3 linked regions of the Alligator mississippiensis genome follow. The protein of the gene in region 1 purifies or fractionates together with the protein of each later gene. This does not show direct contact. Links are inferred from orthologs where the notes say so. Each region holds a gene or a part of one and is shown in the gene's direction. Other genes may lie near its edges.

What was found.
Region 2: the proteins of TCTN2 (region 1) and TMEM231 purify together in Homo sapiens (affinity purification with mass spectrometry; 3 studies listed by BioGRID and IntAct, counting the BioPlex papers as one, with this or other methods). This does not show direct contact. The link is inferred for Alligator mississippiensis from reciprocal best matches to the Homo sapiens genes TCTN2 and TMEM231.
Region 3: the proteins of TCTN2 (region 1) and TCTN3 purify together in Homo sapiens (affinity purification with mass spectrometry; 3 studies listed by BioGRID and IntAct, with this or other methods). This does not show direct contact. The link is inferred for Alligator mississippiensis from reciprocal best matches to the Homo sapiens genes TCTN2 and TCTN3.

The regions. Positions count from the first base shown.
Region 1 is NC_081833.1:5,965,368-5,975,056, forward strand, and holds the start of TCTN2 (tectonic-2), read left to right. Parts: upstream 1-5,759; 5' UTR 5,760-5,809; coding exon 5,810-5,882; exon of another isoform or gene 5,883-5,928; intron 5,929-6,636; coding exon 6,637-6,753; intron 6,754-7,120; coding exon 7,121-7,194; intron 7,195-8,000; coding exon 8,001-8,196; intron 8,197-8,999; coding exon 9,000-9,100; intron 9,101-9,648; coding exon 9,649-9,689. Other genes in the region: GTF2H3 (general transcription factor IIH subunit 3), read left to right, coding at 1-49, 504-557, 1,136-1,204, 2,497-2,632, 2,728-2,764, 2,862-2,931.
Region 2 is NC_081833.1:77,752,111-77,762,165, forward strand, and holds the start of TMEM231 (transmembrane protein 231), read left to right. Parts: upstream 1-5,916; 5' UTR 5,917-5,931; coding exon 5,932-6,073; intron 6,074-6,191; coding exon 6,192-6,358; intron 6,359-6,667; coding exon 6,668-6,796; intron 6,797-10,055. Other genes in the region: GABARAPL2 (gamma-aminobutyric acid receptor-associated protein-like 2), read right to left, coding at 163-335, 5,241-5,296, 5,375-5,408. UniProt on the Homo sapiens protein: Transmembrane component of the tectonic-like complex, a complex localized at the transition zone of primary cilia and acting as a barrier that prevents diffusion of transmembrane proteins between the cilia and plasma membranes.
Region 3 is NC_081829.1:101,206,956-101,217,616, forward strand, and holds the start of TCTN3 (tectonic-3), read left to right. Parts: upstream 1-6,543; 5' UTR 6,544-6,558; coding exon 6,559-7,072; intron 7,073-7,148; coding exon 7,149-7,287; intron 7,288-8,053; coding exon 8,054-8,175; intron 8,176-10,373; coding exon 10,374-10,504; intron 10,505-10,661.

The DNA.
Region 1 (9,689 bases):
ATTGCAGTATATGAATTTCATGAATGTGATCTTTGCAGCACAGAAACAGGTGAAGTTACTGTTTTATCAGGTGGTTAACTATTTGGGTATTTTTTTCAATATCAACACACTCAAACATAAAAAGATTGTCACTGTTGCATTATGTGCTTCTAGTTTATGGGATCTTTTGGGAGAGGTGAGCATCTTCACCCTCAGGGAGAAAGTGTTTGAGCTAAATGTAGGTGCATGTCATTGCACTATAACACAAAAAGGCTACCAGGTCTGCCCAAGATTGCTACTGAGGTCCAGACCCCACTTTCCTACATCTTATATATGTGGTACGTTGGATAAGCTTCAGCCATCAGTCCTTGCCTAGCCATTTGGTGGGGAGGAAGGCTGGAACATGCAATACACACTAGAGTTCAAGAGCTTCAATTTGGGTGTAAACTCAGGGCAGTAATTCTACTGGAGGGTTATTTTTTGTGCTGCTGTAATTGTGATTCTTTTAATCTTTTTGATTGCAGAATATTTTGATTGATGCCTGTGTTTTGGAGAACGATTCGGGGCTCCTACAGCAGGTACCATGTACATATTTGTATTGCTTATTGACTATTTTCAAGTCTTGGATGAAAAACAAAAAATCAGTATACTATGATAGGTAGCTTGATGCGTTTGAAATAGCTTTTCTCAGAATTCTTTTGCAGATTGTGCCTAGAGGGGAAGAGCTCATACCTGCTAATGTGAGAAGAGGAAAAAAATTAGTCTTAGAATTCGAAAAAACTTATCCAGAAATCGAGAAGAATGTTAAAAGATTTAAGATGTGCAAATGATTGTAAGAACGGTTCTGTTTTCAGAAACGTTCATTAAAAACGTATTGGTTCTCTGATTGAGGCCCATAGACATCCACACTTAATTTCTGTCCTTTTACTGTGGTAACCAGCGGAAAAAACATTTTCTTGTGTGGAGAGTTGTCCCCTGTCCAGCTTTCCCAGAGATGATTCAGGACTGAGAGTATCTAGGGCAAGTAATTTCTTTAAGATTTGAAATCTGTAGGACTTATATGGCTTTTCTAGCCTTTCTGTAGCATGTAGGTGTTTCTCTTGAGGCATATATCAGATTGTCCTTGTGCTAAGTGTTTATAGCATGTGCTTTTCAGGCTTGTGACATCACAGGAGGCATATACTTGAAAGTGCCCCACATGCCGTCCCTTCTGCAGTATTTGTTGGTAAGTGAATGTGAAAAGAGCATGCAACAAGAGCAGCAGCTTCCGAAGTTCCTATCGACTTAGTTGGGAGCGGGGGTAGATTCCATGAGCTGACCGAGAAATTGAGACTTAGAAACCCCAGTTGCTTGCAGGGATTCAGCTGTTCTGGTTTCATTTTCTTTCTGCTTCAGTAGATGTTGCCTTGGAAAATTAGAGGGCTTTGGAAACAACTTGGGGGGGGGAGTCTTGCAGGAGGACTTTCACACATGGCTTGCTCATTGTAGGTCAGCCTGACAGGCTTAGTAAAAGATAAAGTTGCATTGTTGTGAGAGAATATCCTAACATGACAGACTGGGGAACTGAATAAGGGGAAGTATGTCTTGGTGTTTAAAAACACTGCTTAGCTGAAGTGCTTGTGCTTAGCATCTGATATTTTGCATTTATAAAGAGGGGATGTTGAGGGGAAAAAGCAGTATTTTTAACCTTTGCTCCTGGATTGCTGGTTCCATCCCAGTCCAGATGGAGGCTGACTCAGAGGTCTGATTATCTGATGGCTGTTTCTTGCTTTATTATAAATGACGTGGTCTGATTCCAGTTCCCAGTTGTGAGTCACCTACAACACAGGACTGATCAAAATGGACAGTTAACTTATAAACATGGTCAGGGCTGTCCCCGGGGGGGGTGCAAATCAGGGTGACTGCCCCAGACCCTGTGCTTTGTGGGGAGCTGGGCGGAGCGGCCGTGGCGACTCCGCACTGCCGCCGGCTTCATGTCCGGCTGCTTGGTAACTGCCCCCGCCAAATCCACTGCCAGCTTCCTGGCATCCAGGGGTGGGGCCCTGCGCAGGCTGATTTGCCCTGGGCCCCACACCCTGCTCGGGTCAACTGTCATATTTGGCATAGAGATCAGTAACTTTGTGGCCCAAGAAGATTGCAAACTCTCCTTCCTGCAGAGGTGTTCCTACCAGGTCAAAATATGAAGTACAGTGGTGGTGGGTAGGGGAGTTTCCCCATTGCCCCTGTCTGTTCTGTATCAGTCAATCGGTGACTTGTCTCCATGGGTGTTATTCTGTCACCTCTAGCAATCACTAGATGAGTGTGTTTAAAGTTAATACTGGATGCTGATGCGATGATCAAAACATTTCCTGGAAGAACATGGGAAAAAGTCTTCTGCCTGTTTATTGTCCCAGTGCAGTTGTAAAGAAGAACGTACTTGGTAGATGGGTGGGTTGCTTTCCTTTATGCTAGAATTCTTTAATTTAACTTGGTACTTTTCTCCCAGATTTAAACTACACCCTACTTTTACTTGTACAGTGGGTTTTTCTTCCTGACCAAGAGCAAAGATCTCAACTCATCCTTCCACCCCCCATTCATGTTGACTATAGAGCTGCTTGCTTCTGCCATCGCAATCTCATTGAAATCGGTTACGTTTGCTCTGTGTGTTTGTCAAGTAAGTGTACAAACACTTTTATACATAAGTGACCTAAATTATTTTGTGTTGAGGCATGGATTTTACTTACACTGGACTGTTTTTTACTTTTCTAGTATTCTGCAACTTCAGTCCTATCTGTAGCACATGCGAGTAAGTGTTCTTTTTTTAGCTTATTTGCGTGTTATGGGTTAGGCCTGGAAACTCATTCAGCATGCCTGAATTCTGACTTTTTTTGCTTTTATTTCAGGACTGCTTTTAAGATTTCCTTGCCTCCTGTCCTGAAGGCCAAGAAAAAGAAACTAAGAGTAGCTGTATAGCAACTTTACAGATGCACGCTGTTACCTCATGCATATAGTTCTGTTAAACAGAATATGACTTAGAAGTTGGTGACGGTTTTTTTTTTCTTCCAAAGGATGAGAGAGAATTGTATTCAGGTGTTGTTGTTAATTCCTTAAGGACTAAACACGTAAGTGTCATGCATTACATGCACCAGCCCTTTCGTTAGATGAATGGTTGCGTTGGTGCCTAATCCGTGTGATTTTTAAAACCACATTCTTGCTTGTGATTGTCGGAAACCAAGCACTGCTTTTTCTTAAATACTTGTGAAGCAAGCAGTGTCCTGATGATGCCAGAATAGGTTTCTAGCCTGAGAGCGCACAAGGCCCTGATTCGGCAAACACTTACGCACATGTGTTTAAAGCAAACCTAAGTATGGCCATCAGCACTTGTGGGATCTAGATCTTAGTTAGAGACCTAATTTGCAGTTCCCGGGGAATCAGAATGCTGTTGACTTGCTTGGAAGTGTTACCTGCAGGCAGGCTGCAGCAGGATGAGACTCTTGGGAAATGACCCAAGGTTTTCAACACAGTTTACAGTCTGCTCTCCTTTGTAAAGAGTTAAATCTGATTTTTTGTTTTTCCCACTGCACCATTTTTTTAGTGGCATTATGTCCTTTCTGGGCATTTCTTTTTTCCTTCCTCACTTTGATATCTTCTCTCCAAACAAATATTGTTTGAAATCTATTCATCTGAGTAACTATTACCATGTAATACGCAGATGAGTAATTTTCCTGCTGAAGGTCATTAACACAAACTTTCCTCACTTTGGAAAAATAACTACGGGGTCCCTTTTTGTTTCTCAGATGAGTGTCAGCTTAGAATGGTAAGCTTGCTGATTAGATTTTAAGATGGTTCTTGAAACCGGAAAACACTTTAGATCTATGATAATAAGATTTGTTTCTAGGTTTTAATGTAGTATGGCTTACCTAGAGCATTCACATGACACTTAAGAAGGAAGTTCTGCATATTTTGCAATGATATTTTTGTATCTCAGAATGTGAACACACACTGCATGTTCTCAGTTCAAAGCATTTTGTTTTGATCTAAAAAAATTAAAAATCCTTGTCTACTTTTAAACTGTAACAGCATATTTGGTGTTTTAACATGTATTTAATAACTGATGTGCTCCTCAAAAGTATAAGGGAACTCATTATTTTCTATTTAGGAAAAAAAAAGACTAGAGAAATTCAGTTTCTTTTTTAAAGATGTATATAGCAACTGAGACTTCATTTTCATCGGGTTGTTGTCTATGTAACTGTTTTATCAAAAATACCTTTTTTTTTTTTTTTTACTGGCTTGTTTGTTGATTGAAAACCATTTTATTTGAACACAGTATTTATAATTTCTTTTTATATGAATATTTGTAATAAATAAACCACTGACTTTATTTAAAAAAAAAATCCTTTTCCTTTCTTTTTATTCTAGTAATATTTGAATAGGAATTCCATCTTTTGCTCCTTTCATTTATTAAAAAAAAAAAAAAAAAGTTCTAAAATGTTTTGTACAAGCCCCGCACCAGAGATGATATCAGGCAGTGGTAGCTGCAAGTCCGAAGCTCTACTGTTGGTCTTGTGGTATGATGCAGAGGTACCCAAACTTTTTTTTACCCCCTTCCTGATTTACCAGCTGCCCACATACCCCTAGCAGCATATTTTAACACCTTTAAATGACAATTATCATAATGAAAATTAAATCCGCTGTTACAAAATCCCCCCCCCCCCACCAGATGTCTTGTGTACCCCTATGGGTATGTGTACCATAATTTGGGAACCTTTGGTATAATGTATACATCTCGATTCCTTTTGCCAAAGGTTTAATGGTCATGCAGAAGGTTTGATGTTCCCGTGCCGATTTTGTGCGTGTGGCCACGCAGTAGCTTTAAAATCACAGCGGATGAGAGTGAGCGAGTGATACCAGCTTGTAGAGGAGGGGGGCTTGGTTCCCAACTCTGCTGCCTCAGAAGAGGAATACTTTTGAGTGAGTGTTTAAGGGGAGGGACTTCCTAGCGCTGAAGAACAAAAAAGATTTCTGCATTGCCTTCCCTGTCATTTTAAAGTTTTCGAACAACCGTCATGGTTATAAGAGCAGTTTCACAGTATTTCCTCCTGTAGGTGGGCTTGGTGACCAGCCTCCCGCAGCCATCCCATCCCTGTCCTCTCCAGGCGCCCTGGAGTCAGGATCTTGCCAAGGCTCGCCAACTCCATTTGTATCTATTTCAGGAGGTTTCACTGCACGACGCAATGGCATTCATGGCCATCATAGAGGACGTTTGGTTTTCTGCTCCTCTGTCCTCTATTGATGCGAAACCTGACATTTTTACGTCCTCTATTTTTCTCTTCAAGAGTAATAATATGCCCTCTATTTTTAGATGTCCTCCTTTCTGTCGTCTATTTAAGAGAAAAATATTGGACGTCATTGGCGACAGGTAGGGGGTGCATGTGCACCCCCGAGCTTGGCAGTGCACCCCCTGCAAAAAGCACCGCCGATGCCGCTGGTGGCGCCTGCAGGCAGTTGCCGCTTGCCCCCCCCCCTGACACTGCGGGCAGCCTCCGATCACCGCTGGCAACGCTGCCGGCAGTGCTGTGACGGCCTGCGGCACGCGGCGTTCACAGAGGACACAAAGGAGATGAGGGCAGGGCTCCCGGAAGGGGCGGGCCCTTCCGGCGGCCGCCGTTTCCATGGCGCCCGGGAGGGGGCGGGCCTTTCCGGCGGCTGCAGTTTCCACGCCCGAGAGGATGCTGTAACAGAGCCCCGGAAGGGGGCGGGTTCTTCCGGCCGCCGCCGTTTCCATGGCGCCTGGGAGGGGACGGGTTCTTCCGGCCGCCGCCGTTTCCATGGCACCCGGGCCCAGGCCAAGATGGCGGCCGCCGCGCAGCCGTGGGCCGTGATGGCGGCGCTGCTGCCGCTGCTGGGGGCGCAGGGCCCGCTCGGTGCGGCCCCCGGGGAGGCGGCGGGAGAAGGCGGCTCCCGTGGGCGGTGCGGGCCTCCCCGTAGAGACGCTGCTGGGCTGTGCGAGGGGGGTCACTGCAAGGCCTCGGCACCCTTTTTCCCTTAGGGTGGCCTCTCCCTTATTGGACCAGCTCGGTAGTTGGGATAAAGTCAGGCCAGCTTTTCAGTGCAAAACCGCCTTCCTCGGGGCCTCGAACAGAGCTGTGCTGCAAGTGGAGCAGAGCAGAGGGGGCGGGCGGAGAGAGACTCCTGGTGCGCTGGGCACGAGGCTTGTGGAAAGGGAGAGGGGGCAGTCTCACCACCCTTGCAGGGAAAGCATTCAAGGGTTGGATACATTGGATAACTAGGCCATAAATCCAACATCAGCGTTTCGTCCGTGGTTCTTAGCGTCCAGCCGCTCTGGCTCATGTGTCCGTTCCTAGGTTCGCCCTTTAAAGGTGTGAGGTAGATTTCATTTCCCCGGAGCGCCAGGGCAGGGCAGGCGAGGTGATTACTCTGTGGGAGGTGCGTTCCCAGTGGTCTTTTCTAACTACAGAGCTGGTCCAATAAACAAAACCACCCTAAAAAATCCTTGCTGCTTGTGTCATTTTTGCACCGTCATGGCCACATCACTTTTCCACTACTAAACTTTAACGCACCAGCAACGAAAAATGAATCCAAGTCCGCCCCAAATGTGATCTGTTCCTTCTTTTTTGGGTAGCATGAAAATTCATTGTCATTTCTTTTTTTTTTTAGTCTTTCAGCCTTCTTTTATCTACATGTCCGGGCCCGTTGTCAATTCTTTTTTAACTGGGAATTCAGCAGGAGTCAATTTCTCTCTCGCTGTAGTAAATCATATGGATGCTGAGACAGGTGAGAGGACTTTTTAAACCATTTTTTAAATGACCCATTGGTAAACATTGGTTTAAATCTTAATTCACTTCCAGTCCCAGACGTAATTGGAAGAATGGTTACATACCCTGTTATAATTGCTTTGGCCCTGTGCTTCATTCGTTACCAACCCCGGAGCTTGAAAGAACTGCTGCTGATCCGAGAAGGGTTTGATTCTAAAGTGGGCTTTGCTCAGAGCTCCTTTGACTCTGGGGCTCTGCAGAGGCATAGTGAGTTTGTCCGTGCGGCACCAGTTGTAACAATGGGATTGAATTCTTTTTTATTTTGCCCTGAAGAGAGTGCTTAACAGTAAGGTAACAAGTTTTAACACACTTTTTTTGGAATTTAGGATTCTTGCCACTTTCAGACTGTAGTGGGAATAGAAGGGCTGGTGACTGGAGTTTGAACGTAACACCTGGCGTGGTATGTAAAATAATAGTTCTTCCCTGTCATTGTAGGTGGTTGAGATTTAATGTGTTAAGAATTTATGTGATGCTAACTTGGTAATACATAATATGCCCAGGTTTGGCTTCTTGTCTTGGCATTTTGCTTCTTGGAGAACCCCTGATTTTGGACACCAGAATTCCCAGGGTGCTTTTCATGAGAGTAAGGGCTTGGAGGTGCCATTTGTCCTGTGCCTGAGTGCTGTCCTGTCGTTATAGCTGATTGGTACCATCCTAGCTGGAAGGAAGAACCACGCTTGCTGTCACGTGCCTGCAGCTTGTGATGGTCATCAAAATCTTTTGCAAGGTGCCACTTAAATACAAAATTATCAGTTTTCTCTATTATGGTTGTGGAACTTCTGCAGAAGTATCGTGCTCAGTGCTAATGGGGATCACTGGATTTGCATTGTTCAGTGGCCATCCTGGTACAGTAGGTAAAGCGAGGCCATGATGGACTCCAGAATTGGGCCTGTTCTCACTTCTCAGAAGGATTCTACAGAAAACCAAAAATTAAATCCTTTTCCTGGCATTAGGCTTTTGCATCTAAGTTTTGAGGTAATGCATTTCATCTGTATGGATATATTCATAAACTGTATATACATGACAGCCTCCTTTATTTGCAAATCCCAGTGCATATTTTTCACATTCCTCCCAAAACATATATTCCTTCTTAAATAATTGGTACCCCAGGCGATATGCAACAGTACTGAAACTTCTCCGAATGCGGTGTAGAACTAAGTATAATCATGTACATTTGACCATCAAACTTTATCTGACATTTTTCAGGATGCTTCCAAAGTGACAGTGAGTGTGACCAGAAACCTGCAGTTGTGTTTGCTCAATACTACTGATTGCTGCACAGAGCCCCTCTGTATTATTGAAACTCTTCAAGTTTCTGCTTGCCGTGATTCCAAAATGCTGGCATATCTCCTGATTCAAGCTGAAATATATGCCAACTCTTCTTTTATGGGAAACGTGTCGGGTAAGTGTGTAGCCTTAGTACAAAATCAGTCTTCTGGGTTTTTTTATATTTTATTTTTGAATATTGGTATGTCTTTCTAGGCATTCTGATGATTATTTTAAAACCCATGATGCACTAGCTCTTACTGCTTCAAACTGCAACCTGTAGACAACAGGTGAAATTCTGGCTTTGCAGAAATCAAAGATAAACTTATCATTTGTTTTCAACAGACTTGCTTTTCATCCAGTAATTTTTGGGACTATACTCCTGCCCTTTTGATTGTGTGCAATACTGATTCAATCAGTTTATTATGAGCTAAATTATTTTAGCAGTTCTGTTGTTGGTAAGTCAAACAAGTAAATGGCATTTTAATACATTTTCAATTAATTAACACACTTTTTTGAGTAGAAAGAAAGTGGAGATCATCATGTAGGGACTGCAGATTTGAATGATGGCTTACCATTGAGTCAATCTACAGTTTTTTAATATAAAAAGGATTTTTCTAATTTCTTATGTTACTAGTGATGCATTTAAAAGTTGGAGTTTTGGATGGCTCTCCTTGTATGGGTATAAGTGATTGGACCTAAATGTGAGGTAATGAAAAACTGCCATTAGAGCAGGAATAAAAGATACCAGAATTATGTTTAACATATTTTTTAAATAAGTTACACACAGTAAGAATGAACTCTGATGCAGACATTCTTTTACTTTTTTTTTTTCAAAGGAAAGTGGTCACCTAATTTTGATAAGTGGGATTGCAATGTAAGATAACATGTTGACTTTAGGTAGGGTCTAAATTTTTTGTGCATTACTTTTTTTAATAGAAAATGCATCAGTCATTCCAAACCAAGTGTATCAGCCTTTAGGCTCTTGTCCTTGTAACCTGACAGCTGGAGCCTGTGATATTCGCTGCTGCTGTGATGAGGTACTGATTTCATATTTAACTTTTCAGTTATACCTTTTATTTTTTTTATACTCCAAGTTGTCTTGGAAGTGTTACAAAATCCACTGACATACCTGAGAAATTATTTGTCAAATATTGTTCTTTAGTTTTTATTGCCATGGACTTTGAGGAGTACATGCATCATTTTAAACCAATATAAAACTGTAGCATAACCTGTGTTTCAGTGAGAACATTGTTTCTGTCCTTTGGTGTTTTAATAGTAGATTTAAAAACGAGCCCCCCAAAGCAAACAAGCAAACAAACAAATCCAACTTATTTTATTTAAAACATTTAAAGGTCATACGAAGTTTGGCTGTTATAGGGCAGCTACATGTGTTGTAGTCAGTGCATAACATTTGTGTCAGTCTCTCCGTTCTCGCTGTAACACCGAGGAATGTTAGGAGATTGGTCCACAGCTTCTTAAATAACACTTCCTCTGATAATCACCTGTCATGATGAAAGCCCGGCTTTAGCGCGGTGGTGGGGAGAGATGGTTTATCTTGTTAAATAACTTCTTTTCTTTTTTTAAGGAATGCTCCTCGGACTTGAAACAGTTGTTCAGTGGATCCTG
Region 2 (10,055 bases), about 72 Mb from region 1:
AAGATTAAGGTACCAAACCCCTCTCCTTAAGGGGTTGGTGAGCTGCTTTTCACAACACCATCCTGAGCTGTAACAGGAGCCAACAGCAGAGCAGAACACTGTCCCTCAGGCTCACATGGGTTTGCGGGAATGCACACACTTTCCAGTGGAACAGCCTCTCACCTGGACTGTGGGACAGTCTTGTCTACAAAGAGGAATATTGCTTTCTCAGATGGCAGCTGAATCCTCTTCCTGATGATCCACATGAACTGGGCCACAGTGATGTCAGAAGGAACCAGATACTTCCTCTTGTCAATGTCAACAATCTGAGAGCCTGAGACCTTCTCCACAATGACCTATTAAGCACAGACACAGAAGAGAGGCTTTCATACACACAGAAGGATCAGGTGAGTCATTTGCTGGCACAGGTTTACAATGCCAGGAGAAGGTTATCCAACAGAGAAGGTGCCCAGATTTGTTTCAGAAAAGAGGGAGGGTCTAGTGATTAAAGAATGGAAAACAAGGAAAACAAGAATAGTAGAAGGCAACCAAGGGCTTACTAGATGGCAAAACACTATAGTGGTGCCATTAACCTCGGGTCCAGACTGACTTACTACAAACAGCCAATTGTTCCAAGAGTACTGACATCCATGTGCTTATGCATATTGCCATAAACTTCCCTGTGCTTTTCTAAGGCTGCCAGGCCCTGTTCTGAAACTTAACTTTCCTACCCCTAAAGCTAGCAGTAGCCACTGTCGGTATAGTGCAGCCAGAGGAGCCCATAGCGAGCAGACACAAGGACTGTGTTTCTTGTTAATCAGAGACTTACCTTTACTGTCATTCTGCATCCTGGTAAGGTCTGAGCTCTGCTGGACAACCTGAACTCAGCATTAATAGATACTGGGCAGCAAACAGTCTCTTAACTGGCAGCTACCTACTAACATGGTCAAAGGCAAAGATACTCCACTGTTTGCAGAACCTGCGGCAGGGGGGGTGTCAGGAAAAAAGCCTTTTCTTCCTAAGCCTTAGGGTTGCAAAGAGCCCTCTCATGCTGGCCTGTTAGCATTTTGCTCCACCCACAGGGACCTGATAAGGAGCAGGGAGTTTTATTCTGGTGAGTTTTCCTGACTGAGGCAGGCCACAACAGCACTCATCTCAGAGCAATAACCCACTGGGACTAGTGAGTAAAGAGCTCCAGATAAGTGTGCACAGTCTCTTACTACAGTTGGCTGCAGTGAAAGGTTATGAGAGGAGAGTGAAGTCAGCTTAATATATAAATAAATGGGACCCACGTTGGACTGTCACCTATCAACCCCAGATGGAAAACTCATCAAGGCAGGACTCCCCTTCCCCCTACACTATGAAAGCTTGGGGAAAGTAGCTTCAGAAGGAAGCCAGCCAGAAAGTCATTCTTATGCTAACGTTTAAAGCATCATTAAGCTTTAGGGCTAACAACCATAAGATAAGAGGAGCTGGCAGGAATTCACAACTGCAAGTAGCTTTCCAAGCTGTGGCCAGACCCAGGCAGACAGTGCTATATTGATGACATTCATCTGGAAAGTATCTCCACAATGAAGAAGACTGGCAGTGTATTAAATGGGGTTAGAATCTGACAATGCTAAGCAAGTTACCTAAATGAATCACAGAGGCAGACGTGTTATCTGTCTGCTGCTCCACCATAGGTTATTGTTCTTGATACATGAATCACTGGCTGAACTTCTCTGGTTTATATCATGGAGAGGTGAGCCCAGCTGACCAAAATGGTCCCTGCAGGCTGTGAATTGTATTGAATTGGGAATAATAGCTTGGGAGAAGTCACGGCAGTCCTGGGAGAAGGGCCACAGAAACCAAAGGAAGGAGGCTGCTGCGATGAAGGGATATCTGATGTTAGCTGCAACTGCAGGTCAAGACCTGATCAACACTGGTTCCCTGATGCCAGACACCAACAGCAACTAACATGCTAGGCCTTGTAGGAGAATGCAACGTGTGGTGGTGGGGGCTGTAGCAAGTACCAGTGTCTCCCCTTCCCCGCACTCTCTCAGAGGTTTCCATGATGCCTGTCACTGTAGTTTCAGAGTGCCAGAAAGGAAATTAGACTGCAGTTAGTTCCCTAATGGGGTTCAGAGAGGATTGTGCTCGTCTCTGCCCCAGGTCACACAGCTGTCTTTGCAGGGGTAAAGAAAGGAGGCACAAGGGTTGGCTGGTACATGCTTAGCAAAGAGCAGCAGCAGCAGCAGCCTACAGAGGGGAACTGGGTTTCAAAACCTAATAACTGATATTTATTTTGAAAAATACCATTTCCTCAGGGTTATTTAACCTTTGTCCTCCAGACTGCCCTGGCTGTAGGTCTTGAGGTCTCCAAGACCCAACGCCTGTCCCAAGTGGGGATTACAAGGTTCAGAAACACCCCTAGTATTGGGCAACTTGGCTCCTAACCAAAAACTCAAGTGAACAGAAGCGATTCTACAGGAATCTTGGCTGCTTGGATGCAGAAGGGAGCCTAAAGAGATGACTGCAGGTACTTAGATAACTATTTCTGAACAATGAAAGCTCAAATATCTTGTAAATGACAGAGTGGAGTAATCAGAGAAAGTTGATTAAAATTGTCCATTTAGATCACCAAGCTGGAAACCTTGATTTAAAAAAACCAAACAAAAAAGAGTTTGACTCTTGTTTTGCAACTCTAAACTCCAGTTTGGGGGGTCCCCAAAGATTCACCCCCTAAAGGTCATCTCAAAGAAGCAGTGCTGGCTGGTGTGCCACATCTGGCTCTCAGGCCCTACATGGGAATGATTCTTGAGGCTGGAAAGCCTCACAGTACGTTAACTGCAACTGAGTATGCCCTTTATCAAACTCTATTTGGATGGGAATTGGAATGCCAATAAGTGTATAAAAAATAAAATTATTTTTGAGTTAAAAATTTTAAATGTACTGGCTATCCAAAAATAGCATGCATCAAGCAACGCTTTCTTTTAAAACAAATGTATTGTACAAATAAATGAATAAACTTTCTGGAGCTCATGAACTGAACTGAGTGTTTCTGGTCACCATGGCTTTAGAATTTTAGAACTAGTAGATCTTATCTTTTCATATGTCACTTATTTATAGATTGGAAGAAGAAAACAAACTTTACTTCTTTTTCAAGTACTATTTTTTTATAAATTGAACGTGCCAGTCATTGCACTTAACTAGTTGAATAAGCTGAAATGAAGAAAATAGCTTCCCCGAATCTACAGGAAAAACTACTGCTGTCAGGACTGTTAGTACTTCATAATATCTGGTTGCAGGTGGTTACTCCAGTGGTTTGATTTATTAAAAATGTTGGCAGTAAATACACACTCCCACATATCAACTCTTAAGTGTGAGGGTGTGGGTGTGGTGGGGGGAGGGGGGGGGGGGAGAGAAGAATGAGTTTGTTATAAAACTAGGCCTTAAAATAGGTTGTCAGACTTTTAGCAGATCTATTTAAAAATCAGTTCAAATAAATTTCTCATTTAAAATTTAAAAATTAAGTTACAATAAAATCTATTTATTGTTTTTATTCCTAGTGATACAAAGTGGTACTTGGAAAGGCTCTTCTTGAAAAAAGGCTGATTTCTTTAGTTACAACAGGTCTCTCTGGAGTAGGAGTAGGCCCACTGTACAAACACCATCTCACTTGGAGACATCTGGGACACCTGCTGCTCGGGCTTGTTCTAGCCACATCTTCAGAGCAGAACCTCACAGCTGTCCTGCAGTGTCTTATTCCTTACAAAACAAAGTTCAGGACAGTGTCACAGAGACCTTCCAGCCTTATAAGTCATAGGGGAAGCCATTCTTACTTGGATTTACAACCAAAGACAAACCTACGTGGTCTGGCAATCCTGCACCTCAGTCCCCAGAGAGGTACGACACTATCCCTTGTGACAAGGAAGCAGGGATTCAGCTTAATGCACAACTTCAAGCTACGGATATATCTGCAAGGCACAATGTCACGCTGTGCAGATACCAAGCTAGCTGTGGATGAGTAAGGTCAGGTACCAGCATATAGCCACATTTTGCAGGACACACCACATGAGCTTATTAGCCACGTTGAGAACAGCCACGCAGATGTACCTTCCACTGCTGGGACAGATTCCTGAACTGCAGACATGAATGCAGGAGAATGGAAGCGAGAGAGGAGGATACCTGCTCACTGAAAGTCGGCTGGGATCAGGCTAGGATGACTCACTGAAGATAGTTATGATTTATTTGGTTAAATTGGTACTGTCAAGTTATGGCAGCTGCACCCATCAGGAAAATAATCCCTGTTAAAAGCACTGTGGAGCGAACCCCACCGTGGCTACCATCAAGGGGTTTAAAAAACCTGTGTGGAATTGAGACCCACGTGTCCTCAGTTCCCATCCAGCGCTCTCTTCCCTGCACCCGTCTCACAGCACCGAGCCAAGGGCTCGTTTTACAAGCACAGAGAAGGCCTAAAAGACAAACCTGAGGCCTACGAGAAACAAGCAGCATGTCACTGCTGCTCCCTGAGAGGGACTCTGCGTGTGAGATTCGGGACCGCATCTAGACATCTGAACTCCCACTGATGCTACCCAACACAACTGCACCCGTCAGTGCACCTCGGTCGCGATTCCCTCCATCCACTCACACAAGCGTCCACTCCACAGGAGGTGGCAGGGTATTGTTAGCCTCATCTCAGATGTTTTCTTTTCACACAGGTTCCTTACTAGAAGCTGGTAACCGGCTAGGATTGAACCTTGATTAGACAGCCAGGGAAAGTGACACCTATCGAAACGTGTTGATCATCAGCAAAAGCTGGTCCGCGGGCTAGGGACCGCACCCCAGGAGGCAATGAAAGGGGGGCGCCGAGTTCGAGGGGGTAGGAGGCAGGGGAGATGGAGACAGGCACGTCTTGCCAGAGCAGCCGGAGGAGATGCTGCTGCCAGGCCGGGGGGAGGCGAGGAATGGGGCTCAGCTCCCAACAGGGGGGAGCCACGGGGGGGCGGGTCCCCGACTGCTCCAGAGCTGCCGGGTCATACCCGAGGAAGGCCGCGGAGGGGCCCGTGGTGGGCGGCAGTCAGACGGGCAAGCGGATGCGCTCCCTCACGGCGCGGGGGCTGCGCTGCCCGGCGCGAGGCGGGGGCACAGGATGCAGCCGGAGGGGCCGGGCCGGGCCGGGCCGGGCCGGGCGGGCGGGATGCGGAGGGCGGAGCCCCGCGACGCGGTGTCCGAGCGGGGCGGGGCGGGGGAAGGCCGGGCCGAGGGCCGCGCTCACTTACCGGGACGCGGTCTGGGTACTTGGCCCGGATCTTCGCCGACTCGACGCATCGGTGCTCTGCGAACAACGCGCGGATTAGTGCGGGGCCGGGCGGCCGGGGGGGCCTCCCGGGGGGCGCGGGGTGTCCGGCCTTACCCAGCGCGTGGTCCTCCTTGAACATCCACTTCATGGCGGCGCGGGGCCAGGCTCTGCCGGGGTCGGAGCCGGGGTCGCGGCGGCCCGGGGGCGCTGCCGGGGCTGCTCCGGGGGCGGCCGGGCCTGTCGCTGTCACAACAACAACAGCTCGGCGGGCGGGACTTCCGGCCCCCCCGTTGCCCAGCAACCAGAATAGGTTGCGGAGCTTCCGGCCCACGGTGACCGAGCAACGAGGAGGGGGCGGGGTCGCGACATCCGGGACCGGTGACGCGAGGCGGAGCCAAGCCGCGCCCCGCGGCCACGTGATCCACTTGCTAGTCCCCGCCCCCGGCGTCTGCTGTGGTGACGTTTACTAGTGGACGGTGCCGGTACTGGGCTGACACTGACTGGGCGGGGGGCGGGACTCGGGCGTCCTCAGCTTCAGGCGCTGATTCGCTGCTGGACGTAGGCGCGTTATTATTGGCCGCCGCGCACTGGCCCCGCCCAGCCGGAGCCACGCGCGGATTGGCTCGGTTAGGTCCCCGCGCGCCGGCCGCGGTTGCTATGGCGACGCAGCCATGGGCCGCGTGGAGCTGTTCTCGGAGCCCGCGCAGCGCACGCGGTACCGCGCCGGGCTCTGCTCCGCCGCCGCCCTGGGCCTCGCGCTGCTGGGCGCGCTCACCTACGTGCCGCCGCTGCTCGTGGCCTACCGCAGCCACGGTCCGCGGCCGGGCGGGGCTAGGGTCCGGGTCCGGGGGCCGGGGTGGGGCTGGGTGGTGGGACTGGGCGGGGCGGGGTGGGGTGCCCGCGGCTGCCGGCTGACGGCGCGTCCCCGCAGGACTGTGGCGCACGCAGGCCGCGTACCGCGAGCAGCCGGCCGTCCGCTTCCGCTACGAGGCGCTGCTGCTGGCCACGACGGCGGCGCCAGGCGGCGGCCTGGCCTGGAGCACGTTCCCCGCCTTCAACCGCCTACAGGGAGAGCGCCTGCGCGTCCCGCTCGTCGCGGTGCGTGTGGCGGCGCCGGCCGGGGCCGGGGTGTGCCCGGTTCCCCCGTCCGCTGTCGCCGCAGCCCGGCCAGGCCCCTGGGGTCAGGCTGGGCGCAGGCTGTCACCTGCCGCGGGTGGGAGGTGGCTGCAAGCGCTGCTCTGGGCACAGCCCGCGGGCCTGGCTCGGCTCCAGCCCCTTCCTGCAGGCCGGGGCCATGCATGCTCTTCCCCCTTGGAAATCCTTCCTAGTGTCGAGGGTCTGCCGCTGGGACCGTGCTGGCACCAGCACCAAGGCCAGAGCGTCATTAGGGTTCCTTGTTACTTGCAGACTAGAGAAGAAGATAAGAATCAAGATGGCAAGATGGACCGGTTGCATTTTAAACTGGAGCTTCCTTTGAAGCCAGAGGAGCAAGTGCTTGGCGTGCAGCTCATTCTGACTTTCTCCTACCAACTGCACGTGAGTCCCCGTCTGCCTGTAGTGCTCCTCGGTGCAGAGCCAGCGCCGGCTTCCCAGTAGCAATGATATCAATCAGCGGTTCTCAGCGTTTTTGTACAGGACCCATTTGTGAACATCGATGGCCAGTCCCGACCCAGTTGTGGGGCAGCCGCGGTTTCCCACGTTTTTTTCCTTTTAAAGGAGAATCCATTTTTAAAGCTTGTTCATTACCCTTTCATATATTCTTGTGACCCACTTTTGGTCACACATGTGACCCATGGGTTGAGGAACACTGATCTAAAGTGATAATAACAGAAAAGAGAAGTGATTGCAATACTCTAGTAGGTGAGACTTATGTTACGACTTATTTTTAGAACAGTGAATTTTCATTCTAATTCGCTTTTCCATTTGTACTCCTTTAATGTAAGGCTGTGGTTCTCGACCTTTTTGGAGTCAAGGCACTCCATGTTAGATTCAAAGCAACTTTCAGAAAGTGCCAGCTTTGAATTTCTAGTCATTTTTTGCCTATAGACAGAGCAGTTTTTCTTTTGCAAAGAACTTGGGCCACAACAGGTCAGAACGCTTTTAACACTCTGGATTCCTATTTGAAATCTTTGGGCTTAGCTTGTCAATTGTGTTTGCATGCCTAACAGCGATAACACTGTGTGGCAACCCATGGCACTCGTGAAAGGATCGTGACACCCAGATTGAGAATTACTGATATAAGGGAAGGTACATTTCCATTGGTTGATGAAACTGTCCAAACATGTAGGTTTACACTAGGTTTGCTATATCATTTTGCTACCAAGGAGGGTCCTTTAACACGTGTATAGTCACATCATAATGTTCTGTGATGTGTGGCATCATAAATATTTAATAATTTGAGAAAGGAGCCAATCAGAGCTTGGAGAAGGGCAAGCTGTAAAGTAAGAGTATTGGCCTCAGTGAAGGACTTGGATGATTCCTGAAGTTGTGTCTTAGAGCTTGAGCCCAGGTCAAACGCTTGTGATGGCATTACCAATTACTTGCATCCTCAACATAGCATGTAATCTGTTCTGCCATATTTATGAAGCTTGACCTCAGAAAGTGAGATGTTTTCCCTGGTTTCTGCTTTGTCTAGGAAAAGCGTACAGCTTACGTCTTGCAGATTGTAAAAATTCTTGCTGGAGGCTCATGAATTCAATGCATCTTTTTTAAATAGCTTTTAAGAGATTAAAATTTTAAGTAGGGCTGTCAATTATTAGGGAAGGGACGGGGCAACAAATCAAGGCCCCATGGTGAGGGACGGATTGGAGCAGAGGCTGGGGTGAATGAGGCCCCGGGGCCAGGGTGGGTTGTGGGACGGAGTCATAGGTGGCTTGTTCAGGGGCATGGGGGTGGTGCGATTCCCCGCTGCTGTGTGCTCCCCTGTGGGGAGCATGGGGTGCATGTGCCCCCCAGATTTGTGTATGGGGCAGAAATGGGCTGCAGGCTGGGGCTCTGTTCCCCCCTGCCTTTGCCCTGGGAACTGCACGCTGGCTGTGCCGCATGTCCCTTGCCCACCTGTGGTGGGAGGCACAACATAGTGTCACATGGCTCCTGGGCCAAAGGCAGCAGGCACAGAGCGTCAGCTTACAGTGGGCAGCCTGCCTCTGCCCTGTGCATAAATCTGGGGGACACATGCCTCCCCCACAGGTGTGCACAGCAGCAGGGAGCTCCATCCCTCGTACTTTATGTCCCTGGACAAGCCTCCCACAGCTCTGTCCCATGATGCGCCCTGGCCCTGGGGCCACATTCGCCCCAGCTCCTTCCCCACTCCCTCCCTCACTGTGGGGGCCTCAGTCTGCCCCTCCTGCCCCTTCCCTCTCCCCGTGGCCCCTCCCCTCCAGATTTACTTGCTGGGTGCTGCTCTACACACTGCTGAGTTGCATTCCTGTAGGGTTACCACACTTTGTTTAAAAAAAGAGGGCATTGGTGGGGAGGCAGGTGGTAATATGATTAGTGGGGTGGGGGCAGTGATATGCCCGTGCCCTACCTCTGCCCCTCACTCCCAAGCCACAGCCCTCCCCCCCAGCCCTGCTGCTGTCCCTTACTCCTGACCCACAGTACCTCACATCTGCCAGGGTGTTCGGGGCTGCCCACCCCCGAGGCTCTAAACCCCACACACACACCCCCAGCACCCCACACCTTCACAAATCCCCCCCTCTAACCATACAAAGTACCTGCATAATTTTGAGTTTCTCTGTGCATAATTTTGAGTTTTTAGCAGTGTGATTAAAATCATAATTAATTGCGACTAATTTTTTAGTGCAATTATATTTTTTTGATTGTTTGACAGCCCTAATTTTAAGTATTAACATAAGTTGTATTATGTTCAGAATTTACTTTATGTTCATTTGTTAAAAAAACATAACTTTGTATAGCAAAAATAATTTAAAAAAAATTGATTGTTAATATATATATAGATAGATAGATACACACACATATATCAGCTCTAGTTTTTATTAATCAGTGATTATTTTTCCTTCCTCTCTTTTTTTTCCCCTTCCCAAAAGGACACTAGCTTTGGTTTCCCCTAAGTGAGTTCTGTGGCTCTCTGTAAAATTGGTAATAGCTGTTAGGAATCTTCTGGAACCCCCAGGGGCAATAGGGCTGCACAGGGGACACTGAGAGTACACAGCAGCAAATCAAGTGATCCCTGTGCAACTGACACCAAGAATACAACACAACCTAAGAAAGGGGTGATTATGTTGTTAGAAGCCCCTTATCTTCTTGCCACACTTAGTGGTATGGCAGCTTCTGAACATAAATGGCAAACCATTGCAGAAGCCTGGAACCTCCACAGACCTATTTTTTTGCAATTCTTTCATTTGCTCTTAGATTTTAGAGTCAAGGGGCTATTTTGAGCTGCCTTGACCCATTAAACCAAGGGTGTCACAGGCCAGTATAAATGGAACCCTACATTTCCTCAGATGGCGATGTAGATTTAGCAACTTCTTGCAACTAATCCATGAATAAGTGGATTATTGCTGGCTGCACCTAGTGCAGCGAGGATCAGGAGGTGTGGGGCATTATAGCATTGTAACGTGTTGGACATGAGACAGTATAATACCAGCCTGTGGTAGGGAAAGGCTGGGGTGGGCTTGATACCACCATATTGCTAACTGCAGAGTGACTGGGGTAAGGAAGTGTAGTTAGGCAGTGGGAGGAGTACTTTTCATTCAGTTTCCTAGGCTCAAGGGGCTACGTAGAGGTAAGATTTCCTGGCAACCTTAACTCTGTTCAATGGGAAAAGTGTGGG
Region 3 (10,661 bases), on another chromosome or scaffold:
TGCCCCCAGCAAAAAATTACCTTAACTGCTGAAGCCTGATGACAGCAAACATCGACAGTTTTAACACGGTCAGCTTCACGGGAGGTTGATATTTCTCCCTCCAATGCCACAGCTCCTTTTTTGGCCTCATTAAGGCGTACTTTTGTCTCAGAAATATCCTGCTCCAGAGGTTATGTGCGCGTGCACACACACACACTCTTCAGGACGCAGGGCAGCAGGCAATGTGGTAAGGGCAGGGGCCAATAAAATATGGCCTACGGGCCAGATCCAGCCTGCCAAGGGATTGTGTCTGGGCTGCAGGGATCTGGGCCGGTCGCCATAGAGACCATGCCCGTCTGCCCGCTCCATTTGGTACCCCCCACCAGTAGGTGCGGGACAGATGGGACCGGGCCAGGTAGGATCAATTCCCTGGCCCCTCCGCCCTGCCATGCCAAGCCAAGCCAAGCCATGTCAACATCCCCTGCCCCCAACTACACCAGGTCAGCACCCTTTCGCCCCCACCCCTCCTCCCCACCAGCTTGCCACCGTTCCTGAAGTGGCCCCCAAGCCAAAATAATCATCCAGCCTGGGTAAAGGGAAGTCAGTGCCCAAGTGGAGATAGGCACTTGGGGCATGCTAGCTTGACCTCGAGGGAACAGGGAGACGGGACTGGAAAGCGCTGGAGTGGAAGCCAGAGACCTTTCAGCCTCCCTGGGTGAGAGCAGGGGAAGGAAACGACCACAGAAAGAGCGGAGGAACCTTGGGAGCAAAGGGATCTCTGGGACAGGTCTGCAGGATTTAGAAACCTGACTAGCGTGTCTTCGAGAAATGCCTCCGAAGCAACTGATCAGTCGGCAGATAACAGAACAACCAGTGGCCGGGCCCCCGTGCAGCACTGCAGGCATCTGCTTGCTGTATTTGCAGAGGAGGAAGGAAGTTATTGGACCTTCTGCCTTGAAACATATCCAGCAGCTGCAGTACCCATCACCTGCATGCCCGAGGAGCAGAGCCAGACTGTAGCTGTAGAAAACTGCCTCTATGTCACACCGTGGCTTCAGCATGAAAGTGTTCTCAGAGGATGCTGCAGGTTACCTTGAGGTCTGCCCCTTTGATCAGAGTCATACCAGTCGCCGCAGAGAGACTGGACCGGGGAGGTTTGCCTCCCTCGTTGGTGGGGAACACGGCCTCTGCCTGGGATCCGAGTGTTTTTCAAGAACCTTTACAGAAGCAGGATGCTGGCTGCCAGGGCCCCCTGCTTTCCCTGTGGCAGGTTTGGGTTATGTCTGGCGTTGTGTTGGGACTGGCTGTAGTAGAGGTTAGGTGATGGGGCTGGATAGGGATGGTCCTGCCTCGGGCAGGGGTTTGGACCCAAGGAGGCCCGCGATTCTGCGATTCCAGCCCTACTGTTCTAGGAGTCTGTGAACAGTGGGGCTTGACAGCAGTGCTCCAGACTCTCTGGATGATCCCAGAATAATTATTTTAAGAACACAAGCCTTTTACATAGTACTCTTCTCAGAAACATCCTGCTAAAGCAAGCACCTTGATTACTCCCATTTTCACCCTGAATTTTTATTTTTCTAATGTCATTGAGTGGTCCCTTGTTTTCATGTTACAGGATGGAGAGAGGATGGGACTGGCATGCCTTTCTATTACACACCCTCCCCAAAGACAGGTTTCCAGGCTCTCAGATTTTTTTTATGTGGAATTCTACTCCCATCGCTGCTAGCTATGCTCATCACCTTTCTGCCTCTGCTGTTCAGTCTCTCTTTTGAAAGATGTTCTCGGCAGCTGTGTCTGTGCTACTCTCCGCAGTAAGAGAGAAATGGTGTTTTCCCTCTTCTTTATGGCAACCCTTGAAATATCTGAAGACTGCTGCCCTGTCCTCTCTTCAGCACCTTTTCTGCAAGCTAAATGTGCTCAGCTCCTTTAGCCCTTCCTCGTATGACGTGCTTTCCAAGCTCTTCATCATCATTTTTGTCACCTACCTCTGGAGCCTCTTCCTAACTTCTCCACGTCCTTTTTAAAACGTGGAGCCCAGAACTGCACACAATGCCCTAGATGGGGCCTAACAAGTGCCACGTAGAGAGGCACTATTGCCTCCCGTCTCTTGTATCTGATGCTCCTACTGACGCTCAAGACCACATTTGCCTTTTATGCAGCTGCACCACACGACACCCCAATGAGTCTGTGATCTACCGAGACTCCCAGAGTGACCTCATGAGGCCGCATCCAGGACAACCCCCTGCTCATGGCAGGATCCCCGCCCCCCAAAAAACACCCTAGAGAAGTATATTTCTTTCTAACCTGTTCTTTAAAACTTCCAGCAATGGAGATGCCACTTCTCCAAGCAGCTGGCCCAATGCTGAACCACCTGCACAGAGAAAGCTCTTCCTGATCTCCAAGCTAGATCTCCTTGTCCTGACCCCTGTGGCCACAGAAGAAGTGTGCTCACACCCCCACCCTCCTCCAAAAGGGGAATTAGTAATCAAGTAACAGTGACTGAGATATACAGACCAGCACTTCCAGAATAGGGCAGGCTCTGGCAAGATGCACGAGTGTCCACGTCCATCTCTAGAACAACGGATGAAGCAGTCTTGGGCACCGCAGGAGAGGTGGTGGTGCGTGCTCAGGATTCCTGGATCTCTGCATCAGAGGCTCATGTGGGCCCTTCTGCTCCTCCTCCGCTCGTCCTCCTAGAGTTGCTGAGGCCTCCAGGCAGCCCAGGAGCCAGCTCCTGTTTCTGAAAAATCTCCATTTTTGCAGGAGAGGAGGGAGCAGAGAAGGCTCCCGCCTACTGCTCTTGTACCAGGCTGGGAAGAAACGAGCAGGGGCTGATATGCTCCCTTCCCCCTTCTTTTCAAACACAGCCGCTCCTCTACCTACCTGCCCTGAAACAACTAGTGGCCCCTGGGCCTCAGCACCCTCTCTGCGAGATCGCTCCCTGCTCTTCCAGGGGAAAGGGGCAGATGGTCCACCTGCAGGAGGAGAAACAGCTGAGGCATGTTGTGGCTTCAGAGTGCCAAGAGAACACAGGGGCAACTGCAGCCTGAAGCTGGCTCTGCCTGGGAAGGAACAGAAGAGCAAAGGAAACAGCTTTAGTTGTGCGATTTTAAGAACAAAAGGAAGGCAGGGGCAGGCCAGGAGGGACAGCACTTGTATATTCTACAACAAATTGTTTAAACCCCTTCACAAATCTTTCCCTACACTTAGTGATGAGACAGACCTATTGTCTTTTGACTCCCTGCTGCATCTTTCCAAGGTCACTGCCACACGTTCTAGCCTTCAGGATTGGAGCAGCGCACCCGTGGGAAGCAGATGTTGGAGGGAGCCAGGGCCCTGAGGCAGAAAACTGCTTTTCCTGCCTGCTCCCCAGTCTCCCTCTCATCCGGCTGAGTAACAGCCAGCCCTGACCCTGCAGGGGCTGGGGAAGGGGAATCCCTGCGGGTTTCATGTGCCCCACCTGGGAGGAGGAGCACTTTCCCAGGGAACTGCCAAGGTCATCCCAACCACTGGCAATGTCTTCTTTCCAGGATTGCAAGGAGAAAAATAAGCCTTCATTTCAAGCCCCCTTTCCCCATAAATAGGGCCTGCGTCCACTGCCTGAACAAGTCAGTACTACATTGCAGTCTGAATAGCTTTTGAATCTTCATAATGTGCCATTTTAGCTAAGCAAAATCTTAGCAAAGCAAGCCCCAGATGTTAACTACTCTAGGCCTGATTCTCCTCCCGCAGAAGCCTTACCCATTTAATTCAGCTGCGCTGGACATAGGCAATATTAATTTAGCCTAGCTTAAGGGAGGGGAGAGCCATGTCCTGTGAGCACAATGCTAATGGATCAGATTTAAGGATTCCTGATTAAAACTGGTCTGACAATTTGCTTTCAAATGAAAAAAAGGAAAATCTATTATGCTTGGAAAGTACGATGGTGTGAAATTCAGCTGGGGAGCTTCAGTGTTGTGTTCCTTAACTGAGGCATATACTTTGCCTACTCAGAAGAAAGGGAGAGAACTGAGAGCTTGAAACAGGACACTTGCAAAGTCAAGGACAGGGCTGCTTCCTTGACATTCAGTGTCTGGAAGACTTTTCATTACAGCTACCTCAAAAGCAGCCTGACAAATTTCTTTTTACAGAGTGGGGAGACCGAACTATGCAAAAAACCTGCAGGAGTGAGAGTAGGTCTGGTTCTTGAGCTGCTTGGAGACAGAAATGTGAGACCCCATCACAAATTAGGGCCATTTTTTCTGATACCTCAAAGAGCTTTGATCATTTGTTTCAAGCAGCGCAGCCTAGCTCAAGCCTTAGTCTTGGAGTGACAACTGATAGCTCCCCAAGACTGCTATTTGTCTTGCTGCTGCTTTTTGGGGGAGGCCATGGGGGACTCGTGTGTTTGTTTGCTTTCCAGGTTCTCTCACCCCAGGATCTATCCCTTGTGACAGTCCAGAGAAATTGTAAAAGCCTTCACATTCGATGTATAGACTTCTTTCCTCAGCTTTTCCCTTCAGGCTTTTTCTCTTTCTCTGTGTCACATTATGTGATGACTCTCACCTGCAGTGGTTTCAAACCTGATTTAGCAGCAGAGTAGCTTAAATTCTAGACTCTGTTGTCATTTTTTCAAAAACATCTCATTGTGCTGAATTTCTTCCATGCTTCTTCTCAACCCAATAGATATTTTAAGGAAGTTTAGAGGGAAAGACAACCCTTAAGTACTTGTTGTGTATTATGTGAGGCTGAATTTTTTTTAACTTATTAAAATGTTCCTCTGACCCTAACAGAACATGGGTAGAAGAGCGCCAGGCTGTTTGTTCAGGTGCATTATGTGCTGTCTAGTCCTTTGCATATGTGCCTATTAAGAGTAAATAAGTAATTCTGGATTATTTTGTGTATACTATTCCTAATTAGAGCTTAAAAAATAAAAATGGACTCGGTTCCAAGTGGTTCTGGCCTAGACGTACCCTCGCAGGGTGGCACAGAATTCATATGACTGTGCCCAACAAAGCAGGTGGGCAGGGACAAGTCTCCTGAACCAGGTGGATTCCAAACAGGACGGCCAGGGAAGGGCTTTCAGAAACTATACAGGAGGCAAAGAATTTCTTTTTGACTAAACGTTCAGAGTTTCTGTGCTCCCAAAAGACTAGTTGTCCAATTCTTCCAGCAGTCTGTCTCCTTGCCTGTCTCGGTCTGTGCTGCGCTGGCCTGTCAGGCCACACGCCTCCTTCCCTAGGAGTAGTACGTTTTCCCTGCTCAGGGTTTCCACAAACAAGATTGTTTGCACCCCCGCAACACGATTTCCCTCGTCGTCTTCAACGTGGCCGTTGCTCCCTTGCTCCGTAGAGGCAGACCACTGACTGCACACGTTCGGTGCGCCTAGGCACAGGCTTGGCGGCACCTAGTGGTGTTTCTTACCCCCCTACCCAGTCCATCGGCCTTCCCAGAGCACCGCATCTCCATCCTCCCGCGGTTCTTTGTTAGCGATCAATATTCAACTGTGTCTACGATGGACTGAGACTGGGACCCCGTTATGCTTTGTGCCATACAAATGGGTACCACGCAACCAGCAGGACGAACATCACGGTGCCAGCAAATAGCACCTGCTTCCTGCAGTTCCTTGAGGGGACTGAAGATAAGGGAGCCAGATGCACGGAAAGAAACCTGAGGGCACAGGAGCTTTTCACAGACGGTGGTCTGGGGGTAAAGCAGGGGAGAAGGGTATGAGGTGTGGACTGAAGCTGAGGTGAGAACATGAACGTCTGGTGCCTCCCGAGTCTGGGGGCACCTGCAGATGCCGCCCAGTCAGGGGGCACCAGCCCTACCGACAGGACCAGTGTCAGCTGTCGGGGGCAGGTGCGCCCCGTGCACCCCCGACCAGCTGCCGCCAGCCGGCGAGAGGACGGCGCGGGGAGGAGCGCGAGGACACAGTTATCAGCACCGGGCAGCGACAGCCGGGCAGCGCCGCAATTCTCCGCGCGGCTCAAGGTCTGCCTTTCGTCCGCCTCTGCTGTTCTTCCGTGTCTGCCGGGACGCGCCTGCCCCTGCCCCGGACCTCGCGCTCCCCGCAGGCGCCGGCAGCCGCTGAGCCCCACGCGGGACACGGCGCAGCGCTGCCGACAGCAACCGCCGGCTGCCCCTGCCGTCGGAGCGGCGCCGCGAGCGCCCGTGGGCCAATCTGGTGTCTTGTACCAGACCCGCGCCGGCAGCCCGAAACCAGGTATAAGGCAAGCCGGCGCGCTCAAGACCCGCGGGCAGGCTCAGGTATTTCTGCAGCCGGCGTGTGCGCTCCCCGTGGTGCCGCGGGGCATCGGCCCCGGGGCGCCCCGCGAGGGACGGGCACGTTTCCGGAGATCCTGGGTCCGGCGCTCTGACCGCCTCGGCCGGAGACCCGCGGGGCGGGGCGGGGCGGACAGGCGCGACCCACGGGAACCGCAACTCGGAGCAGAGCGGCCACGCGCAGCTGCCGGCGGCCGCGACGGGCGGGGCGGGGCGGGGCGGGGCCAGGCCCGGGGGCGGGGCCTGGTGGGGCCGGCCCGCCTGCGCGATGACGTCACACGCCTGCGTGCCGGTTCCTTAGCGACGGGTTACGTCATGGACGCGCCGCTGCTGCTGGTGCTGCTGCTACTGGGGCCGCCGGCGCGGGGGGGGCCCAGCCCCGACCCCCCGAGCACCGACCCCTCCGGGCCCAGCCCCGACCCCCCGAGCACCGACCGCCCCAGCCCCGGGCCCAGTCCCGGCCCCCCGAGCACCGACCCCTCCGGGCCCAGCCCCGGCCCCCCGAGCACCGACCGCCCCGGGCCCAGCCCCGACCCCCCGAGCGCCGACCGCCCCAGCCCCGGGCCCAGCCCCGGCCCCCCGAGCACCGACCCCCCCGGGCCCAGCCCCGGCCCCCCGAGCACCGACCCCCCCGGGCCCGGCCCCGGCCCCCCGAGCACCGACCCCCCCGGGCCCAGCCCCGGCCCCCCGAGCACCGACCCCCCCGGGCCCGGCCCCGGCCCCCCGAGCACGGCCCCCCCCGGCCCGGAGGCCGGCCCTAGCCCCAGGCCCTCCGCCGCCCGCCCGAGCGCAGCCCCCGAGGGACAGTCGCCGCCGGCCGCCGGCGCAGGTAGGCCCCGCCCCGCCCCGCCCCGCCCCCCGTGCCGCCGGCGGTGCCCGCTGACCCGTCCGTGGCGTCGCCCTAGGCTGCCCGCCCGCCTGCCCCTGCGACCTGCGCCGCGGCGCCTGCGACGTCGCCTGCTGCTGCGACGCCGACTGCGACCCCCGCTGCGACCTGCGCCCGCCGCGCGCCGCCTTCGCCCGCTGCCTGCCCGGCAGCACCAGGTGGGCTCCCCGGGGCCGCGCGCGTGCGAGTGTCTGCGTGTGTGCACATGGGGCTGCTCCTGGCCGTGTGTGCGCGGGGCCATGCCCTGCCCTTGCACACGTGCGCGCAGGGCCTGGGCCGTGCACTCCCTTCTCGCACGCCCGGTGCCGGGCACCGTGCTGTCAGGCCCGCGAGAGCCGGGGCCGCTCGCAGCAGCCGTACGACCAAGACTGGGCTGGCGTCCGGCCCTCGGCAGGCGCTTGGCCGTGTCCCTGTGCCCGAATCCCTGGGCTCCTTCGCAGGGTCGCCAGGAAAGGGCTCGGGACGCTTCCCCAGCCCGGCGGCCCCGTGGCTGGCGAGGCCGTGGGGCGGGCGAGGGGGCGGCCGGGAGAGCGCAGCCGGCTGGGCGGGAGCGAGGCCGGCGCTGGGAGGAGGCGCGCTCTGGCCTCCTGTCCCCGTAGCGCTTGTCCTCCCGAGGAAGCCCAGGTGCCTCAGATGCAGGCTTCGCTGCCTCCTGGGTCCCTCCCCGTCGCGATTTGAAGATGGAAAACAGCACCGTGGAACAACTGGTGAAGTCAGTTGTCCCCTGTGAAACCTCATGTCTCTGAATTAGCGCCGAAGGTGCCCCTGCCTTGTGTTGGGCCTGTAGGATAACTCCCGTTAGGAAATGAAGAGTAATGCAGCATCCGCTCGGTTGGCTGGGCCGTGGGGTGGATTTAGGAGCGGAGAACGTACATGTGGCCAGGGCGGTAGGGTTCATCTTCCCTTTTCTGTGTTTTTGGGCAGGGCTAAGACCCAGGTGTGTGTGGAGCAATCGCTTATTTTCAGAAATAACACCCCGTATCCTACGGAAACCGTCACTGATTCCAGTGGACAGACTCGGCTGTTCTGTGTGCAGCTGAACGACTGTAAGTAGTCTTTCCTTGTGACACCAAATTCCTAAAATGGGCTGGGAAGGGAACACTAAGGTGCTTGACCGAAAGTGTAAGGCTGGGTGAGAGGTGCATCCGGTTACCTGGCGGCGGGAGGGCAGAGGTACGTTCTCCGTACCGAGTGGAAGACAGTAGGGTCACGGGAAAGCAGGGCTGGAAGGGGCCCCGTGAGCTCATCTAGCCCAGCCCCCTGCTCAAGGCTGGATCATCCCTGACCAAACCATCCCAGAGAAGCGTCTTTCTAACCTGCTCTTGAAAACTTCCGGGGATGGAGATCCTACAGCTACTCCAGGGAGCCTGTCCCAATGCTTGATCACCCTCATGCTCAACAAGTTCCTCCTAACGTGTAGCCTAAACTGTAGCCTCTGCTGCAGTTTGAGGTCATTATTCCTAGTCCTGTCCTTTACAGCCACCCTCTTCTTAATTGTCCTTGAGGTATTTGAAGGCTGTGCTCCAAACCCCTTCAGTCTCTTAGCCCTAGTTCTTTCAGCCTGTCCCCATGACTCTTCCTCCCAGGCCTCTAATCAGTTTTGTCACCCCACTGGACTTTCCGAATTGTCTGCATCCTTCTTGAATTGTGGGCCCAAAACAGGAATTCAGGGGAGGCCTTACCAGTCCTAAAATGAGCAGAAGAATTGCCTCCCTTGATATGTAAGAGACTTTGGTTAATGCACTCCAGGTTGCTGTTGGTTTGGGGTTTTGTTTGGTTTTTTTGCAACAAGAGCGCACTGTTGGCTCGTATTCAGTTTGTGGTCTACTGTCACCCCAGGTCTTCTCTGCAGTGCTACAGCCTAGCCAGTCATTCCCCAGTCTGTATTTGTGCGTGCAGTTGTTCTGTCCCAAGTGCAGGGCTTTGCACTTGTCCTTCTTGAATTCATTCTGATTGATTTCAGACCGTTTCTCCAGTTTATCCACGTCTATTCTCCAGTGTCTGAAACTTCACCCAGTTTGGTGTTGTCTGCAGATTTGTCAAGCATGCACTCAATCCTATCATGCAAATCATTATTGCAGATACTAAACAATACTGAGGACCCCGGGGGAGCCCGACTTGATGCCTCCTTCCATCTAGTCTTTGAACCATTACATCCTACAGTCCTTTCATTTCCTCAGTGTTTCCTTAGCTTGTTAATGAGTGTGTTGTGAGAGATGGTGTCAAAAGCCCTGCTAAAGTCAAGGTAAATTCAGTGACACATTCACTGCTCTCCCCCACCTCCACAGAGCCATCTTACATCTCTCACTATCAGGCAGATTTTCTGGGCCTCTGAATATTCTTCTATCTTTTTTCTGAACATTTGCGGATTTCTTTCAACATCCTTTTTTTAACTGTGAACGTTAGAACTGAGCACAGTAGTCCAGTAATGGGCTTGCTAATGCCATGTTCAAAGGTAATATCTCCTCTCTGCTACTACTTGATATTCCCCTCTTTATATATCCAAGGGTCCTGCTTTGCCCTTTTAAGTGTGACCTACATTCTTTGTACCTAGAAGTATGACCTTGGATTTCACTTTATTACAGTACCTGTTGTTCAGATGTGCCTTCTGTATTTAGCTTTCAAGATTGGTCTGTGTAAACTGATCTGTCCCCATGATTATTTATCTCTATAGCTTTGTGCCCTCTGCAAATTTTACCAGCAAAGATTTTATATTTTTCAGGTTACCGATAACAATATTGAATACTGTTGAGCCAAGAAGGGGTTCTTGTAGGATGCCAATAGAAAGCCTCTCTTTTCGGAAGACTTCCTCATTTCCAATTGCTTTGAGGTTTATCACTTAGCCAGTTTTGAACCATCTAGTAGGGGTTATGTTGATTTTTGTATAGTGTTAATGTCGGGTACCTTATGGAAATCTGAAACTGTTTCAACACAGTTACATCTAGCATCCATGCTGAAAATTAAGCAAAAAAAAAAAGGTAAGTTTGTTTGACAAGACCTATTTTCTATACACCCAGATTGATTGGCATTTAATTATCCTAACAGCCTTGACTCATTGTACCTCACCAGTGTTCCATCATGCCCAGCTCTGATGTCAGGCTAAACAACCTGTAGTTACCCAGGTCCTCCTTTTTGTCCTCTTAGACTACTTATGCAACATGTGATTTTTTTTTTCCCCCCCCTCAGTCTTCTCTAATGATTTGATGTTGGGGTTGGTTTCTTTTTATTCTTTCCCTATCTTTAGCAAAGCTGAACTATTTTCAGCAGCCACAGGAGGTTACAGAATCAAATTTCCCAGTGCTCTTGGAGCAGTATGGTGGCCCATCCTTTGTGTCACCATCACAACCCATGCCACCCCCCTCTGCCTTTTACCGGGTAAGTTAAAGGAGTCCTCAGAAGACTGTCATAACTTTTCTCTGGGTTTCCTAGTGGTGACAAGAGTCAGTGCTGGAGGGAGAAAGATAGAAAAAAATGTACATTTAACTGTTCCCCCCACAGTCCTTATTTGGGGTTCAGTAAACCAGGCTGTTGT